Arabidopsis thaliana: one gene and its partner. The protein of the gene in region 2 interacts with the protein of the main gene of each other region in a pairwise test. Each region holds a gene or a part of one and is shown on either strand. Other genes may lie near its edges. The genes, in order: TGA10 and MYBC1.

Region 1 (7,999 bases), on a different chromosome or scaffold from region 2:
TCAAGTATAATTTTTCACTTGAATTTGCATAAGGAAGAATTCATTAAAAGGTATGGAATACTTGTCTATATATATAATCTGCATCTTGATTAAAAACATAATAGTAAGAATCATATAACAAAAAGAAGCCAAACAATTTTCCCTAATTGCACTGTATTTGAGTAGAGAGACGATATATATGATAAAGAGGTCAAGCTGGCGGCTAACTAATCAACCTATTCTCTTGTTTTTGTTTTTGGTTTCCTTCATCAGTTGTTTTAGTATTATCCATCTTGCCGAGGACGGGCTAGCCAGAGAGAACTTAGAGCTTGAAGACGGTGGAAGTACTCCGCAACGGCTAGAAGACACCGTGCTTCTTGACGGGTCGTCAACAATTGGTTCAGCCTATGGATCGTTTGGTGCCTCAAATTATCCGCCTGTAAGTTTCTAATGTATTAGCTAGTTCAAAACTAAATAAGAGTTATAGGGAAAATGGAGAAATAGTAAAAGCAAAACAAAAGATGGACAAAGTAGTGCACATGTTATTGACTAAGACCAATTAAGGACAAATAATCGAATTGGACCATCATTAATCTCATAAATATAAGTATTAAAGACTAACTAGAGAGGAAAAAAACAGATAAAGGACTAATTAAGCATTATAATGATTGTGCATGACCCGAAATTATGTGGTTGATTGACGACTAATGCCGATTATTCAACATGTTGATCGATCAAAAAATCAAAGCTTGTTAGTAATTCACTAATAAGAACACGACACCAACATGTCAAAAAGGTGAAACCGTGAATTCCATACCCTCGGTCCCACGCCATGCTTCATGATACTTTTGATCATTAATTAGAATCATACATATATAATCAACCTATTATCAATGATATAAAAGTAGACAAAAAAATGCAGAATCAAATGTAAGTAAAGGAATTATTCTCAAGGAAGTGTTTTCGGAGGATGGGATACTTGGGCAGTTACGTCCATGACATCATGCAACGATATGGGCTCCAAGCATTCCATGTTTTTATTTGATGTGATATATTATAGATACATAATATATGTATTTTTCTTTTGGACTACATATATTGGAATATGTATACTTAATACATACTTTCATGGTGCCAATTGTCACGTGCGTTTAGAGAAAATTGAATTCATTACCCCTTTTTAGTAACTAACCCCACATTTACCACCTATTTTAAAGTTGGATCTTTCTCCAAATTGTGAGCGACTAACCGTGTAGCGAAACACAAAAACTTTTTTTATAGGCGGAACAGGAACAATTTAGAACTAATTATATTAAGAAATCATTGAAAGATGCCAACTTGTATATGCATGTATCTTGTATAGAATTAATTAGCCGAAATGTCCATTTGCATATAGAGTATAGACTTATACATTAATATACACAAGCAGATATATATATTTCTTTGTTTCAAAAACTTGCCTGTCCTAAACTAGTAAATGATTAAGAAATAAATATTAAATTAATAAACTTGGTCGTCTAAGAAAAGCAACCCGACCAAGTTGATATAAGACAAGAGAAGTGTTTGTTAGATACCTACTTGCATAATGTCCGAATCAAGAGGCAAATACTTTCCATTTCATATACATATACATGTTAATGCATAATTATTAAGTTTGCGAATTAGTTTTGACATCTTCTTTAAAATCAACCACTTTTATTCTATATACACTTAATATATTACAAATGTCCTCTAACAAATTATGGCCGACGTTATACCTATATATGAGTTGTACACAAAACAGACACACACATATATACAAACATCTATATAAATTTAGATAGCGTGTTATAACAGCCAAATATAGAAATATATAAGTATATGATAGTTGAGTTTAATAAGGAGTAGTTCAAAGAAACAGAATATGTATTCCTAGTCTGATTAGGACCACATATATCCTCTAGGGGTCCACTTGTATATCAACTCTATAGGTATATTTTTATATAAAGATAAAAGATTGGTATATTGATATATAATTGCACATAAACTTAAAAAGAAAGAGTTATAAGGGTACCTGGAGAACGAAGCCCTCGAGAGCAGAGAGCTTGTTGAGAGCTAAGGACATGTGTGACATGAAATTGGATAGATGAGGAGGAAGTGGTGCGGAGGCAGGCGGGAGGGAGTCAGAGACAATGCTATCGGAAAGTGATTGATTCAACGCCTCGAGGCCTTGCGAGAGAGCCTCCTCGGCCTCTTGTGTGGACTGTTGCAGCCCACATATCCCAACTATCTGTTGCTCCGTCAATGGTTCTATCTGGTTCACAATCACCTGCATGCATGCGTTTCTAATTAATACACACAAGTTGAGATATCGAGGATTAATTAACAATGGTCTTAATGGATGCATAAAGAACGTTGAATGCATTAAAGTGTGTAGTGTATGTACTCTGCACGAGTTACTAGCTACACCCAAAATCTCTTCTTTCCTTTTTATTTTCACTAAAAAGGATATAAGATTGAGACATTGCCAAAGGTCTTGTCAGATATGCACACCATCCATATATTAATTTGTATTATTAATCGGCTATCGTAGGTACTCATATTGTTTAGAATAAAAAGTAGGTTTAATTAAAATGGCTTTACGTAACCATTTTAGAAAAGAAAAAAAATGATAATCATCCAATTGACGAGCGTGCTAAAAATGTTAAACAATTATTTATTTTTGGTTTGTTTATTATGGTCGTCTCTGTTGAATTCCATGGTGGTTTATGTCTATCTCTCTCTCCTATGGATCCCATAAATCGAAAAAACAGACAGGCACTTTCTTTTGCATTATGCCAAAACCTACCTATTTCTAGAGATACTTCACCATCACACACAATTGCATGCATTCTTAATTTGTTTTCAAAATAATTTTACGTGTACCTTTATTATTGTCGTAATATAAAGACATTCACGTATATATGTTGGTTTTATACATCTAGAGTCACCCCATGCAATGTTATGTATATATATACCTCGTCCAACAATATCACTATATAGTCTATCTCTTGTCTGTCTTATCTATTATTACTATATCGTACCTCTTTTACGAGAATCAAAGACTAAATTAAAAAAAAAAATCTAAATAATAAAATAAAGTTGGAAGTACTATATTCTGTGGACATATATGTACGATATAAATAATAACAATGTCACAATTTCAGTCATTATTAGTATATGTTCTGCAAGTAATCCACAAAATTGATGGTATTAATGATTGTATCCTGGAATATTTTAGGTTCTAAGATAAAATTTAAAATGATTAGTCTTCAAGTAAAATTCCAAAATTTAGATTTATTAATCCATATTTGATTAGTTTACAATATCATCATGACTAATTATTGTGTGGGATGTGGCTCGAATAGAATAAGTAAATATCTCTCGAAAAACCTAAATATATGTATATGGCTATAAGAAAAGACGAGATGTACCTTAATGATCTCCGATGGACGGAAACCACCCATCCACAAGAAGCAACGTTCAGCTGGAGTTTTCCATGCTCCAGAAATGAGGTGGAAGACATCGGTCTTAGCGACCATAGCCTTGAGGTTAATCAAATGGTCATAATGAGCTAAACATGTGTCCACAAACATCCTAAGCTCGTTCTCGGACAAGTGTTCTTGTGTTGCCACCCTTAGTTCGTTTAATAGCCTCTGCTGCTCCTCCAGCCACCTCGCATATTCCATATCGAACACCGCTGCTTCTGCTTCACATTGCATTTACTCAATATCTCATTCTCTCGGTTTTCAAATTTTACGGTTTTTGAGTCATCACATTTATGAAACTATTAACGTACCAGAGCTGATGTTGCCAGGGCCAATGGGTAGTCCACCTTGCTGTTGATCTCCTCCTATAAGAGACCCTCCAAAGAATACGCCCTAAACATATATAGGAAATCAAATTAAATTGGTACATTTTAGACTTTAGGTTAAATACAATATATATGAAAAGACAGGTTCAAATATTTACTTGGGATCTGGCCCGTTGAATCTCTTGTTCTAGTTGGGTCAGTTTGATCCTACATGACTCGAGTTGCTGAACATAAGCCTGTCGTAATTTACCAAAGCAAATAACGTTATAAATAAATTTGGATATAAAAACTATATTTGCAACTTACAAATATTGAATGCTGACCTTTTTACGTAATCTGCTTTTTCTTGCTGCTTCTCTGTTTTGTGCTAGTCTTCTCAATGTCTGTTGAGAATTAAATTAATAAAGAAACTATCAAAAACCGAAAAGTAAAAAAAAAAAAAAAAAAAAGAATCTTATTAATTTTCTGCAGTTGTATGAATATACACTCACTTTAGGGTCTGACGATTTAGGTATGTCATGGTCCGATGAGGCAAGACCCTTGCGGTTCCCTTCCTTCTGCCATAACATTTAGATATGACCCATTAACTTCTAAAAACAACCACAACAAGTCTATATCTATACTCGAGTTATAGTTCGACAAAGCAATTAAATGATTAAAAAAACATAAATGGATAGAGACCTTGATGGATTTAGAACCTTGAGGAGGTTGATGAAACTGAGAATGATTGGTCAAGTCCATGGACGGGTCAGAAGCTGGTCGAGTGGAACCACTAGGTTGAGCAGCCGGAACTAATCTTGTATTATCGGTCTTACCAAACACATTATATAAAACAACCAAAAAACAATCAAATCACTACTCAATAGAAAAATAAGAAACGTATAATAATTGGTCTGACTTGATATTATATGAAATGGCTAGTAGTTGCGCTGACATTATATTAAATTAGAAACAGAAACCAACTAAAATTGGCATATATATATAGAAATTTATAAAGTAATAGTAATAATTATTACATTGTGTGTAGAAGAAGGAGGTGGCTCTATGTGCATAGGCTGAGATGGAAAGATGTTGAGCGTCGATGTTGGAGGTCTCATCGCCAAATTCTCTGCCATAAGATGAGTCATGTGACCATATGTATGAGAAATGGTCTAGTTATAACAAGTCATGTATATAAATATGTGAGCGGACTAGTTCTTCTAATTAGAAGAAAAAGGACAGAGAGAGAAAAGGGTTTAAAGAAGTGTAAGATATATGGATTTGAAAGATTTGGTGTCTGAAAAGAGAGAGGATCTGGTCAAAGCTGAAAGAATAGAGTACTGATGGCAGAAGAAAGATTGAAATCTGTTTGGCATGCTTTTGCTGTGACTCTCTCTCTCTCTCACACACCTAAAGGGAATCTTCCTTATCTGCTGAAACCAAAAAAACAAACCCCAATTCCCAAAAAAGAAAGAAAAGAGAGAGAGAGAGAGTGCATACGAGTTGTGTGATGATGATGTAAAGGAGAAGGAGCAGTTGATGGAGGATCATGATGTCCTTGTCCATCAAGATAGAGGAAGAGTGATGGGTCTATCTCTCCAATATCATACCCATCTTTGTTCCTGCACACATAAATTAAAGCTCTCTTATTAAAAACATGGGGATCATCAATCAATTCAAAAAGTTATTAAGTGAGTAAAAATTACATGAAGTTTCCATGGGAAGACGTGGCGGAGGATGATGATAAGTGTTGATGATGATTCTGGTGATGACCTTGCATTTGATGATGATGAAGAGAAGTCTATATATAGGATGATGTTTGAGAGAGCGTGTGATATGATAGTAACAGCAGAAGATGATGAAGAGAGATAGATTTTGATCTTCGATCTCTCTTATGTTGGTCTTCTCCTCTGAGGCAAGCTGATGATATATGATGATGATGACGGTGCTTTGATCACTAGCTAGAGAGATGATGATATACCTTCTTTTAATTCTTGTATATTATTTTCCTTTCTCTATATTCTTGGAAAGAGATAGAGATTATGTAACGGAGCATTTAAAGCTCCTTTGGTGTTTTTTTCAGAAGAGAGAAGAGAGGTCGGTTATATTGAAGTGGAGAGGGTTCAAAAACTTAAGAAGGATATTGGAGAGAAAAATAGAGATTGGAGAGAAGAACCTAAAGACAAACTCCTTTTTATTTTCTGATATTTTTGTTGTATAAGTTTCTTCTACCTTAAAATATTAGAAGACGACTTTGTTTTTATTTTTGTATGAAACCAAGAAAAATATTCTGATAAAGCGGTCAAGAACATGTCCTTTTCCATCCCCTCTCTCTTCTTCTTCCTTCTCTCTAGTCACATTGCTGATAACAAACTTGTATAAATATTTTTTGTTTGTTCTCTAAATTATTATTATTATATTTCTCCTATATATATTATTCAGCTATTAGATTTTTACTTTAAGATATACTTTTCAATTCCATCATCTATATTATTATTATAAGATTTTTTATTCGATTTTTAATGATCCATTAACCGCTCTTACATTCAATCTATAAACACTAGACATTATATGAAACAAGTTAAAAGTCATTATTATGTGATTTATGAACTTAGATTGTCAAATATATTGATTGAATTTTGTTTGTATCTCTAACTGTTCCATTGTACTTTGTTTGAATGGGCACTAATATGGTCTAGGTTTTGTTTTTGTTAAGCTAATTGGTTTGATCAAATTGAGCTGGTAAACTAATTTTGATTTCTTTCCCATCATTCACAAAATATTCATACAAATAATTTCCTCAAAATAGTTTTAACTTGTAAAGAAAAAAAAGTTTAAAATCTGTAGACTAATCCGTAAAGGTAAAACCGACGTTACTAGATAGACCAGTTTATGTTAACCGCGGTAATGGACCATCCAACCAACCCATATAAAACCAATAAACAATTTAATCTGCCGCGGACCGGAGTAAATTGGTTCGGTTAGTTCAATAACCGGATTCGAGATATTTGATGAGACCAATGAAATTATGCGTTCTTCTGTAGCAAACTCTTGAGACTCCAAAACGTTAAACTGTGTGAGACTTCGGAGATAAAATTTCCCAGAAAGCGTGAAAGGTTAACCGGAAGAAAATGCCGTCACAAGATGATGTTCAAAATCTTCCAATCGATATCACCTTCTCTCGTCTCGGAGGTAATGCAGAACTATCAATTACGAGTACACGGAATTTTAAATTTTTATATCTCTTTGGTTTTTTTTTTTCGTTTTCTTCGTTGGATTCGAATCTGCGTTGGTGATTATTGTCTTCATTTGATTTCAATTTTGTTGAATTTGAAGAATGGTTGGTGGATCGGAAGAGAATTCCGGCGGATTGGAGGAAGAGGGTTGCTGTGATCAGAGTCAAAATCTTAAAAGAGTTCTCTTCTTTGCCTAAAGAGATCGATCCATTCTTTCAAACCCTAGATCCTGAAGGTTTTAAATTCTTCAAATTTTGTTCTTTTATCAGTTTGGCGAATTTTCAAACCTTCAAAACGAATTCGTCTTAAATTGCGTTTTGGTTCACTGCTCTCATTTATAACTTAAAGTGTTAGTATTTTGTTTGAAAATGCCAAAGAGATTTTATTGGCATCTTTGTGAACACCGTAAGCTTGTTTGTTGTTTGGTTATGTCTGATGATTGATTAGGAGGAGGGCCTTACTTGGTTGTATTCTCATTCAAGTTTAATGTTGTTTTGCTTCCAGTGATCGGTTACTTGGAGGTCAAAAAGGTGTATGAGATTCTCCTGAAGACAACTCCGGAAAGCCGCAACATCTTTGGTCGACTTTCGGGTGCTTCTGTAAGGAAAACTGTCTCTCTGTTTCGCACTTTTGTTTGTGTTCATTGTCTCAGCTGTATAATGCTCTTTTAGGGTGTTTGGGAAGCAATTGTTCGTGCGTTTGAAAAAGATCACATTTATCTTGGGGAGGCAGCTCAGATAATAATTCAGAATGTTAATTACGAAATGTAAGTTGGCTTCTACTTGATTTTACCTATAGTCTCTCTACTTTGGCATTTCTGATCTCCCTAATATGTTTTCTTTTTGCAAAACATGAAGCCCTTATCTGAAAAAGCAAGTGCAAAAGGTTCAGCAACAAATGACAGAACTTGATCGTAAAGAAGCTGATATCAAAAGGAGCGTTGCACTCTCAGCAACAAAATACGAGGATGCTT
Region 2 (3,804 bases):
GATAGTGCATAAAAACCTTCTTTTGTGCTTAACTGGCCTTAAGTGAGGTTCCCTTATACAAATCCATAATAATTTGGTGCAAAAGAAATCAGGGGGACAGTTCTTGTCTGCTTTCACTTATTGTCTTCGTGACTTCGGAAGAAGATTCCTTATCTCAATTTTCTTATTTTCTAAAGTATACGAGATGGTGCTGAGGGGTTGGCCACTAGACAATTTTAGTCTATTTAAATTTGGCCTTCTTTCTAAAATTTTAATGTTATGAATGGAAAAATATTTAGGTTAGAAAACCAAGTTGTTTTAAAAGAAAAATTAGGTCAATTTACCAAGTCGACAAGTTGCTAGTTCGCTTATTGAAAAGTGACTCTCCGATGATCAGCCGACCATTCGACCATTTAGGATTTTGGGTTCTAGATTTACTTTCACTCAAAAATAATGTATAAAATATGCTCTATCCATAACACTAAAACCAATAAAAATAAAACTTTATGCTCTATTCATTTGGCATATATAAAGTTTTTGAGAAATTGATTTAAGTAAAAATAAAAATAATGTTTTGAGAAATTCTAATCAAATATGGTGTGCGAGTTCCTAGATAAAATTGGAACGTTGTTTTTCACATAGAACGGATAGTTTCTTTAACAAAAATCATTTTAATTAAACAAAGACAATTTGACCTTTTTTATTGCGAATGGATCATTGTAGTTAAAGAAATCAATTTGACATTTTAGCTATCAGATTTAGCTTCCTTATTCACATCACACGCCGAACCTAAATTTGGAATATTAATCATTTCACAACACTCTACTACTTGTACATAGTTCATACCTAAAAAGGTCTCTGATTTATATGTTATGGCAGCACAAGTCCCACTCTCTGCCCATACCTTTGTATTATAATATCTGTATATGATAGTTCATTTATACAATTAAATTTTCATGCATCTCGAAATTTTACTGTAAGTTATTTTGCACAATTTATGAAAAACCAATACTACAAAATACCTAAAACAAAATGTGTTTAATTTATTTTGAAGCTTGTGATATCTAAAATAAGTAACAATATGGATATTACAAAAAATAAAATAAAAATTATTATAGTTCATACTAGTAAGAAAAAAAGAAAAATGGAAAAAAGTACTAACACGCATGGTTTACGGACAACTAACCCACTAAATGAAGTTAATTTAAAATCATTTAAAAAGTTGCCTAACCTAATCCATGTCTGCGCGTGGAATCTCATGCGTACTTCAGACCAATTGTACGACAGGGTGCTGTTTCCAATTACTCCACCCGCAAAATGAACGCGTGAAAAACCACGCGCCACGTGGAAAACCAAGAATCTTTCTGATGGTTCGGACCATAACTCCGAAACACATAAGACAATGACAGATCCAAACAAACAAAAAGTAAAACCAATCCCCTTCAATTATCAACTTTAACTGTTTTTGTCGTCTTCCTTTTTCTTTCTTATCACACTTTCAGCTTGAGATATCCTTAATTAATAATCATCTCTCTTTAAACTTAGAGAAATATTCGGGATTTATGGTTTTCGTCTTAATGAGGACACAATGATTATTATTTTAATGTAAGATTGAGATTTCTTCTTTCTGTCATAACTCATAAGGTTCTCTGCCTTCGGTGTAATCTAATCATATACTTTTTATTCAAATGATGTCGGCTCAACTATTGGCGCATTCTTATGCGATCAATTCTTATGTTACTAATTTATTGATCAAAATTGATACTCACACACTATCGATTATTGTTTTCTACCTAAGAATTATTGCAATTTAGTCACTACAAATAAATTAAAAAAACTAGAGGCAAACAATTCGCATGGAAAACAAAAACTGGCAATTTGGATGCCATGAACCGAACCGTGAATGACAATGACAGTTCATATGCTCACATTATTACTATTTTCTTACTACTTTTGAGTTATGATTTCTCAATTATCCTCTTTGTATTTTTAATAAAGACTCAACAATTTATTCCGTGTTCCATAACCCCATGAACACATTATTCGAGAGAAATGGAATCAGCCAATCACTCTCTTTCCTCCATATATAAAATCTAGCCAATATTCACAAATAATAACTACTTCCTTCGTTCTTTTCCTTACCAAAAGATCCACCTCGAACCTCTCTCCTCCGTCTTCCTCCGCAGCCGCCGTCACTATCACCGCAGCTAGAATGAGAGAAGATAATCCAAATTGGTTCCTTAGATGGGAAGAAGAGCTTCCATCTCCAGAAGAACTCATCCCTATCTCTCAAACCTTAATCACTCCTCATCTAGCTCTCGCTTTCCAAATCGGAAGTCCTAATCATCATCTCGGATCAAAGAGAACCACCGCGATTTATCACCAGAAGCTTCAATCCTCCACCACTCCAACAACTCCAACTCCAACTCCTCCACCGATGATGATGAATTCTGATTTCGGCGGTGGCGATTCCACGGATCTTGGTTCAGGATCAATAGGAGGAGAGCCAGCAAGAACGTTGAAACGGCCGCGTCTAGTGTGGACGCCTCAGCTACACAAACGTTTCGTGGATGCGGTTGGACACTTAGGGATCAAAAACGCAGTTCCAAAGACTATAATGCAGCTTATGAGCGTTGAAGGATTGACTAGAGAGAACGTTGCGAGTCATCTTCAGAAATATCGTCTTTACCTTAGGAGAATGCAAGGCGGGAACGGTAACGGAATCACTGGAGGACACGTCATCGTCTCTGATTCGGCTACTGATCGGCTATTTGCTAGCTCACCGGTTCCAGCTCATTTCTTGAGCCCGGATTACTTGATGCCGCCATTAGAGCATTCGTATATGGGGAAACATGTGATTACGCAGCAAAACCAAGTGGTTCGTAATCTGAGGTATGAAGATTCGGAATATGGTCATGGTAGTATGAAGATGCTTAAGCTCTTCCCTGCCGGAAATTAATGAAATATTTGAATTCTTAACTTCATTTTTATGGAAGTAATAATGTTTAAGGTATGTGGATTATCTCTGTAATTTGCATTTGTCGTCAGGATCAATAATCTATTGTTAGTGTATATTATTTGTTACGCGAACAATTTAACCTTTGTATGATGTTATCATTTGAATTCACTACAACACAGTAGCTTGTTTTTATTTCTTTCGTCTATTCATTAGTTTCCCTGGACAAGTTTGATTATCATTTGTTGCGCCTAATTTGAAGTCACGTCAAAGCTGAAGCATAAATAGTAGTAAACAAAAAGACAAGGCAATGACACTAATCAAAAGGTTAAGTTTGTCTATTTTTGACATCAAACTGTCTCAAAATCTGGATTACACAAATCCTTAGCCATGATGAGAAAAGTAATTACCGGTTCTGCATGTAATCGAAACTAAGGGGCTGCGGATAGAACTGCGCCTGCAGAGACAACAATCACTTTTAAAACTTGATATTCACTAATTCAGATGTGATATAAAATCCACATTCACTCTTAAGTGTGACATTGTGATCTAGGAAGGTCGACAACCAACATTTACACAATTAACAAAAAGGCTAAAGAAAAGAGAGGAAAAAGGGAAAAAATTTGTTTACCTGAAAAGGGGAGTTTCTGAAGTGGTCATATGAATGAGTATACATCACAGCTGCTGCATTTGGCCATTGCATGTACATAGCAGCATCTCTTGAAGGCTGGTTTAAACCTGTGGTGACGCAGGGGCTCATGACAGAATGTTGACCCAAGTTAAGAGATGGAGGAGCAGTTGGACTATACCCTCTAAATCCCATATCATAGATTGGTGTCCCCATTGTCTGAATGTTGAAGTGTGCCACG

What was found.
Region 1: the proteins of MYBC1 (region 2) and TGA10 interact in a two-hybrid assay, tested with the Arabidopsis thaliana proteins (one large-scale study listed by BioGRID).

What each region holds. Positions count from the first base shown.
Region 1 is NC_003076.8:2,118,482-2,126,480, reverse strand, and holds TGA10 (bZIP transcription factor family protein), read right to left. Parts: upstream 6,010-7,999; 5' UTR 5,571-6,009; coding exon 5,497-5,570; intron 5,413-5,496; coding exon 5,291-5,412; intron 4,920-5,290; coding exon 4,828-4,919; intron 4,622-4,827; coding exon 4,493-4,621; intron 4,369-4,492; coding exon 4,303-4,368; intron 4,195-4,302; coding exon 4,135-4,194; intron 4,048-4,134; coding exon 3,970-4,047; intron 3,879-3,969; coding exon 3,797-3,878; intron 3,707-3,796; coding exon of another isoform or gene 3,704-3,706; coding exon 3,432-3,703; intron 2,288-3,431; coding exon 2,033-2,287; intron 417-2,032; coding exon 264-416; 3' UTR 24-263; downstream 1-23. Other genes in the region: AT5G06830 (uncharacterized protein), read left to right, coding at 6,922-6,982, 7,127-7,261, 7,531-7,625, 7,698-7,792, 7,884-7,999. UniProt on the Arabidopsis thaliana protein: Together with TGA9, basic leucine-zipper transcription factor required for anther development, probably via the activation of SPL expression in anthers and via the regulation of genes with functions in early and middle tapetal development.
Region 2 is NC_003071.7:17,096,906-17,100,709, reverse strand, and holds MYBC1 (Homeodomain-like superfamily protein), read left to right. Parts: upstream 1-1,978; 5' UTR 1,979-2,191; coding exon 2,192-2,938; 3' UTR 2,939-3,160; downstream 3,161-3,804. Other genes in the region: AT2G40960 (Single-stranded nucleic acid binding R3H protein), read right to left, coding at 3,342-3,392, 3,567-3,804. UniProt on the Arabidopsis thaliana protein: Probable transcription factor that acts as a negative regulator of freezing tolerance via a CBF-independent pathway.